2 linked regions of the Styela clava genome follow. Each later gene encodes a partner of the first gene's protein in a complex. Links are inferred from orthologs where the notes say so. Each region holds a gene or a part of one and is shown on either strand. Other genes may lie near its edges.

The links.
Region 2: the proteins of mediator of RNA polymerase II transcription subunit 16-like (region 1) and mediator of RNA polymerase II transcription subunit 25-like are in contact, whole or in part, in a cryo-EM structure (PDB 7EMF), measured with the Homo sapiens proteins. The link is inferred for Styela clava from reciprocal best matches to the Homo sapiens genes MED16 and MED25. Residues at the interface, in NP_005472.2 of Homo sapiens: Cys41, Arg42, Ser92, Ser94, His113, Arg161, Lys163, Phe171, Gly172, Gly173, Lys174, Pro195, Gly485, Tyr486, Ala516, Ala517, Gln520, Val521, Thr524, Arg525, Ile554, Ala555, Ser558, Lys561, Ser562, Leu563, Leu564, Arg565, Pro566, His567; in NP_112235.2 of Homo sapiens: Ala26, Asn27, Gly29, Pro30, Tyr31, Val74, Asp75, Cys76, Ala77, Pro78, Glu79, Val82, Cys84, His85, Pro87, Lys102, Phe103, Met104, Gly105, Gly106, Gly107, Gly108, Glu109, Thr120, Gln123, Leu124, Asp127, Phe128, Tyr151, Leu152.

The regions. Positions count from the first base shown.
Region 1 is NC_135264.1:6,227,995-6,231,928, forward strand, and holds the start of mediator of RNA polymerase II transcription subunit 16-like, read left to right. Parts: upstream 1-1,150; 5' UTR 1,151-1,228; coding exon 1,229-1,367; intron 1,368-2,033; coding exon 2,034-2,141; intron 2,142-2,703; coding exon 2,704-2,858; intron 2,859-3,577; coding exon 3,578-3,678; intron 3,679-3,757; coding exon 3,758-3,891; intron 3,892-3,934. UniProt on the Homo sapiens protein: Component of the Mediator complex, a coactivator involved in the regulated transcription of nearly all RNA polymerase II-dependent genes.
Region 2 is NC_135258.1:20,078,019-20,081,952, reverse strand, and holds the start of mediator of RNA polymerase II transcription subunit 25-like, read left to right. Parts: upstream 1-1,272; 5' UTR 1,273-1,374; coding exon 1,375-3,934. UniProt on the Homo sapiens protein: Component of the Mediator complex, a coactivator involved in the regulated transcription of nearly all RNA polymerase II-dependent genes.

The sequences.
Region 1 (3,934 bases):
TTACCTTCAATTTTCCACATATCATTAAAAACCACAACAATTGTCGAAGCAGGCTCGAACACCATTCGTGCTATGCCTTGAAAGCAACACACATCCGCTCGTTTTCGTCTCGTCAAGTATGTGCATTGGAGCGTGCTATCGAATACGATCTTCGGCCAAAAATGCCGGAGTTGCGCATCATGTTGTTTAATGTCATTGCTCCAACTGACCCATGCATGCCACACTGAAAATTCTCTTGTGTACCCATAAAATAAGGCTGTTGGAGCCTTCAGTCATTGAAAACAGTCGAATCTGAGCACGATGGATTTGTTTTCAGAAGCATGGACTTGGATGGTGGGGAATGGTCGTAACCGATCAGTGGTCATGTGAACCACCCTCGGTGGGAGTAGAGATACAATCCTCTCGCATCCTCTCTGTAATTGAAACCTGTGAAACTCTCAGGGTGATCAGAAATGCGGTGGCGAGCGTATTCCTAGATGGCGAATTCAATTGAATTCTGGTTATTTTTTGCATGACCACTGTTGTTAAACTTTAGTTATTTATTCAACCTTTCACACTTAGTAATAGATTACCTGCTAATTAGGGAAACAATACCCTATAGCAATTGATTATTAATTCCTTACTGTCTTACACAAGTTAAGTCTGCAACTGCAAGTAGGCCTACTAATAACAGTAGTTTGTCATCTGCTTTCCATTGAAATGAGGGAGCTTGTGAATATTTAAAGAAATTGATAACGACACACTATCACCCCATTATCACTCACCATCAACGAAGTGCTGTCCGCGAACAGTGAAACACATGTAAGATGGCTTCTGGACTTGACACCAAGCTTTTCTGCCAATGCAATAGGCAATCAGGCAACAGATGATATCCACATTGCGCGACGTTCCGGATCTTTTGAAATCAGTGGAATATAACTGAAGATCCATTTCGTTGTCTATACTATACGTACAGCCAACGGTACAATACGAAATAACCATTTTCAACAGCCAAACAAAACGGAAACGTATAATCCGACTTGCGACTGACAGGAGCCAAATGGACGTTTTTGTTTTATTGCCGTCCAGTAACAGAGTCACGTGACCTGTGCAAGTGGATTCCTAAAATTATATAGCGCTTTGTGCGGTGGGCTTAATCTAAGATCCTGGCCGACGGGGAATCCCCTTTCAATGTAGTCGTTTGCTCGCAGTCGTAGCCTAGCTTGTTATCTGTATAAACAACAAGAAAATGGAGCTTGTTTATCGGATTAGTTCAAATGCAAAGTCATCAGTTCAATCTCTCGGCCACTCCAGTAGTTCTAGTCCCATATCTGCAACATGGTCATGCAATAATCTTTTGGCATATCCATGGGAAAAAGTAGTCAAAGGTTGGTTTCTTTCTGCCATAATGAAGTTTGCTTGTTGCTTTCGTATCGTTTTAGTTTTTGAAAGTGTTCAAAACAATGTCAATTCAAAAATCAAAATTTAGAAGCCTTGAAAATAAATAGAGTTGAATTCCAACTTAGCTCTGTAGCTTGATGCCTGTAATAACTGAATGCAGTAATGAAAGCTTTTCAAAATATAGTAATATTTAACAAATAAATCAGTGGAGCCCATCATCTATTCAAATGTCAGTGGCTATTAAAACTCTCAAAAACCACTTATGATGTAATAATTTAGTTCCTACTAAGAAGAAACTAACATTATACAGTTATATGGATTACAAATGATGCAATTATGCAGTTTATGGCGAAATGAAAAAAATGTGTAAAATATAAATAAAAAAGTTTGTTGACATGCATCAACTTATTTTTACGACTCGCGAGTTATATTATGTGAACCGCTATGATGTGTAATTAGTGAGGAGTAGGGCTATATGGCTTTATGCCTCCTCTGGCATTGAATCTCCAGTGCTTTTAACAAAAAAACTGTTGTAATCACTTCACAAGAGCCAGAGCTTGTAGAACAAAGAACCGAATGCGGCTCAGAACACTCGGGTTGCCGATTGCTAATATATCTGTATATAGTATGCTAATGCCATAATCCATATTCAGGATACACAGAAAGATATGTCAGCATCATTGATCCAAATCAGCCATGGAATGTCCACACAATATCATTCGATAAAGCTTCTGTAAAAACTTTGCAATGGAATCAAACAGGTAAATTGAACATTTCAGCTATTATTAGATCGTCTAGATTTTGACCTTTTTTTCTATTCACATATAAATATACATCAACTGTAAACTTTAAAAAAATCAGTGTTTCAGTAGGGACGTTTGATAGACTGTGGTACCATCTGCAGTCAACTTTGTGAAAATGATTAGTGCTTGCTATTACACGTGATCAAGGATCAAGCGTGAATTTTGCTTATAATTTTATAATTAATTCTTATAATTTTGATGAGTCATCTTTGAGGTGTGTGCTAATGCAGCGGGATATCGTTAGGCTAGTCAGCTCGCTACCCTGATTTTTAACTCTTGTAAATACGTTTTCCATTGAACCTGATATTCAAGGACTTGTTAAAGTGCAGCAAAGGATATACTCATCTCATTGAAAGTAACAATCAAATTATGTCTTGTTTTATTTACATGTTCAATAAAATACAAAAAATGGTTACGTACCAAAAAAATAAACATACAGACACTTTCCAGACATTTTTGAGATACAGAAAGTTGGCATTTAATTCATTTTGAGCGTGTATATCTTTGTTTCTGTAACAAGGCAACAAGTTACTCTGCTCAACTTCAACTGGTTTTTGCAATGTATGGATTTCATCAAATCATCTGACAAATGTTTGGAAAGAAAAATCGACTTATGGATGCGACTTACAAGGGGAAGATATTTTGGCCTCATCATGGCTATCGAATGGACGAAAGGTACTTTGGCGTAGCTATCGTTATTTTTTGGAGCTGCCTAGCACACAGTTCAACTTTTAAATATTTTATCTTATATATTATAATCCTGAAACATGATCCCTTTTTCTAAAACAGACTTATATTAATTCAGAAGTTATTTGAATTAGTTTTCAGCTTCAGTCTTTATTATACAACTTCAATTTGATTGTGTTCAGACTTCAATTCAAAATTTGAGCAATAACTTAGGCTCAGCGGTGGGACGCATTATGAAAAGCGTCAGGAATACACTCGTCACCGCACCTCTGATTACCCTGCATGAGTTCGCAGGTTCGAATCACATGCGGGAATAGGTATGTGCGAGAGAATTGCTGGACACTCGCCTCGTAGGCTGGTACACGTAACCACTGGTCTGTTTCGCATCCTCCATCATCAAGTCCGTGCTCCTGAAAACAAATACCTGGCTAACTAATTTCATACCCGACATTGTAATTCTGGACTGCAGAAAGCATTTATTTGAGTGAAGTTGTGAAATTTCTCACAATTCAAATATATCTTTTCTGTCAATGATATTAGATTTCAAATATTTAGATTTTGATCTCGTTTTTTTTATATGATATATAAACCAGATTATTTAGTAATGTGTGATATTGATGTTAAGAAATTCTATGTAGAGTAATAAAAGTGATAAAGAAGATAACAGAATCTTTCTCTATTATTTTATTTATATTCGCATGCTTTAGGTTGTGCTTCACGTGGACAAGTTGGACAATCCCAAAGAAAAAATATCGAGAGCTCATCACCGACCATCGCTTGCACAACTTGGTGGTCAACCAATGGAAGGGTGAGTTCTTGAAATATTACTTGTAAGTATGTATAAACTGAAATTCTTGTACTAAATGTAACTAAAATAATTTTTTTAGGTATATTTCTGTTACTGGGTCTGGACTTGTAGTCGTAAAATGTATTACTGTTACACAAGATGATGCACCAATAGTAGCGAAAGCGCAGCTGAGCAACACCGAAAATTTCATGTTGGCGGATATTGTATATTCAAGTAAATATGAGCATTCTTATCTACTCTATTTTCTTCTTTAATG
Region 2 (3,934 bases), on another chromosome or scaffold:
GACCTAGAGCTGATAAAATTTCTGGTATTTCCATTTATTACAGTATTATGGTACTGGTATGCTTGGCTCCAATTACAGCTCCTGTTCTTCAGCCCCAGCGGAAATACAAACAAATGGCCAGATGCTAACAAAGAATAGCCCTGGCATTATAGGTCATACAAGTTCCTCAACACCAAACTAAAATTGATCCAGTATCAATTGTAATTCTGAGAGAGCCCCTTTCTAAATCACACGATTTAATTCTATTAATTTATACTGATCGTACTTTATAGAAATTTTTTTTCTATCCATTTTGAATTGATTTTACACAATTTTGTATTGCGAAAGGTGCCGTATTAGTATACATGTCCACTGAGCAGAACATCGGGCACTTGTATGTTTTCCAGGCACTTTGTGGACTATTTTTAATTCTGAATATAGAAAAAGTAGAATACTTTAAAGTAGGGCTGTCCAAAATCGAATAATTTTTCGATTTGAATCGAATATTTTTGCCTAATGGAACCGAATAATCGAATATCATTGCGCAATCCTAAATCCGTCTCTAACATACAATAAACGCCTGCCCTTCGATGTTGTGGAAACGTATGTGCAGTTACATCTTACTTACAGCTGGTATTTTGTAATACAATGTTTTCAGATTTATGAAAGGAGATCACACGCTTGTATGAACTGATCAAAAAAATTGGAGGACTCCAAAATTTGGGTCTCGAAAATTGTTGAGTGTTAAGAGTAATAATTGCACTATTCAAAAATTGCAATCTCAATTCTAATGGATTCAGTTGTAATAGGACATGTAAGGCCTGTAGATGCTATTTTAATCCTATTCACTAGTCTTATGTTTTTTTTGTGTAATTTTCAGCAAAATAATAACAAACATTAATATAGATAAAACTGTTGCTCAAATTCAAAATTGCATTTACCAAATTCAAAGCTAGTTTGATGACAATATTATTCTGTTATTTGATGACTATAATATTGTTAGTGTACAACAGCCATCGAAATTCAAGAGCGCAATTATTTGTCTTGGTATATAGATGGATAATACAGTATTGCCATCATAAGAAATTACAAATTCCATTGAAAGAAGTTCTTGCCATCATAAGGATCCCAAAACACCTGTTTCAGCTTTGAGTTACCTGTACTGTACCATGTTCCTATGATAACTAACTCCACAGCTTCAAATCGATTCTATTTATGGAACTATCGTTTTCTAAATTGTATTTCACTTACAAACTGAGAGAGGTGCTAATTTATTAGACTTTCAATCTATTTGTTATAACATTATGCAATACTTACCTCAATTTCACAGCTTGATTATAATTGAATTATATTCTGAATATTTCTCGATTGCTTGAAACATCACATCCTTTAAACATGGTTGCATCGAAAGATCCAACAGTTGTTGATTTTATTGTTGTGGTTGAGGCAACAGCCAATATGCTATCACATTGGGAAAAGATAAAGAAGTCTTATATAGGGCCAGCAATTGAATATTTTAACGGAAGACAGCCATCCCCATTAGATTATGTTGGTAACCACGGCAACAGTCAGTTCGGCTATGTTCTCTTCAGTTCTGCAGACTGTGCCCCTGATTTAGTAACAAGATGCTCAAATGTCACCCAAAGCCCTTGGGAGTTTTCCCACAGTTTGAACTCCATTTCATTTTCTGGTGGAGGATGTGAACGATCTAGCCTTGTGTCTGAAGGTCTTGGGAGGACCCTACAGCTGTTTGATGAACTTGCCCAAAGGCGTCACCATGAACGTTCCATGCAAGTATGTTTTTTGGTTTGCAATTCTCCACCTTATGATATTCCATGCAGTGAAGCTTATATGTACAATGGTCACACTGCTGGCAAGCTAGCAGAAATAATGGGTACTAAAGGTATTCATCTCTCAGTGATATCTCCGCAACAAATTAGGTCTCTCAAGGACTTATTCATTTCTGCTAATCGAAATGAACTTCCATCTATGAATTATGCTCAAGATCCAAGACATCTTGTTCTTATCAGCGGATTTCAACTTCCTACAGAGCGTGATCCTGTGAAACTCAATATCAAAGATGAGCAAAATCATTCAAAAAATGCATCGAAAAATAACACATTGAATTCAATTTCTGCCACAAGTTCTTCCTCTATTCCAAGTCCATCTCAACATCAAACTGCATCATCTACCACAGTTACTCACAACACACAACTAACTTCTATTGCATCATCTCCCGGTTCACTTTTCTCTACTTCAGTACCACAATCTCAGCCTGGACAGCTAATCAATACAGGTGCAGCATCCACAAATACAAATCAGAACTCATTACCTTCAGGGCAGTCTGTAATGAGAACACAGATAGCACAGGATTTAAATTCAACTTCTCTTGGAAAGCTGCAAACAAGTTTGCCAAGCTTCTCTGTAAGCCAAAATCTTCAACCTCAACCGCAGCAGTCTAACATGAGTATGAATTTTACCAATTCCAAGAACTCAAATATATTACAGTCTGGCAATGACTCTCCTTATTCCAGATCATCTCTTGGTCAGGCATCTAACAACAGCGTCATGTCTCATGGATCTGGCAATGTGGGAACCACAAATCTTAAGGACATGCTGCAACCAAATGCACATTCGTCACATACGCAGATACCTATTTCCAATGTTACTTCGTTCCCACAACCCTCAGATAGTAGTGTCAACATGGTTACAAACAGCATGGGAGGAATAACGGCCACTATTCCTGAAAATTCTGATGGAATGTACAACCAACAAACTCAACAGCAGAATGTATCCATGCAAGACCAGCAACAACAGCAACGATTAGGAAATCAACAAATAACTCAACGCATAGGTGATACATTCTCTTCTGTACCTTCAAACATGCAGCAGGCGCAGCCGTACAGTACTCCTAATGCATTAAATTCCGGAATGCAAAGTAATCAACAAATTTTGTCAAACAATATTAATACATTTACTTCATCATCAAATTCTTTCCCACCAAACCGTGGCATTCGACAGAGTTTCAATTCATCTATGCCCTCTCAGCAATCAGGATCGATTCAAGGAAATGTCACTACTATGCATCAGATGAATAATCCAATTCAACAACAAGCTGGAAACATGGGCATTGGTGGTTCAGCACAACAACCAACCCACCTTTTAAATCATGGGCAAGAGCTACCATCAACATATCTTAACACTGGGAATGTTCCAAAACCTGCTACAAGACAGCCAACAGACAACATGAGGATAACATGGGATGGCATTTTAGAATGGACCGAAAAAAGAAAAATAGCACAAGGAATTCAAGGAACTGCAAGAACTAACCACACTCTCCAATGCAAGGTATTGTTGCGCTCAACTCAATCAGATGAATCATTGAATGCAAACCTGTGGCCAACCAAACTGAACATGCAACTTATTCCTCAAATTGTATTCACTTCAATGAAAAATCAAATGAAGAATAATATTTCTGTCAGTTTGCGAATGTCCCCACTTGACCAAATGCAACAACTGGCAAATATTATGAAAAATAAGTGGATGGGATTAATCCAGATACCTTCTCCGAGTCAAAATTCTGCAGAAAATAAAGTTATGCTAGTAATATATTCACAAAAAACTTCTCAATTTTTCGGGGTTCTTCCACTTGATCCCCATAATTTTATACAAACAATCAGATCTGTAATAGCTCGACATAATCCTAGCCAACCAACGCAGTCTCGGCCAAACAATCCTGGTGCACAACAGTTACTTCAAGGCAATGTGGATCAGGGTGGAGGAATGTCAGGCTTGAGCTCATTTCAACCGCAGGGCAATACTCATTCAATGGCACCAAACCAGTTCAATGTGCCTAATTCAAATCCCAACATGAGACCGACTATGAATACTATGCAACAGCAGTCTATGACAAGAAGCGTAATGAATACTGGCATGTCTCAAGTGAGAGGAGGTA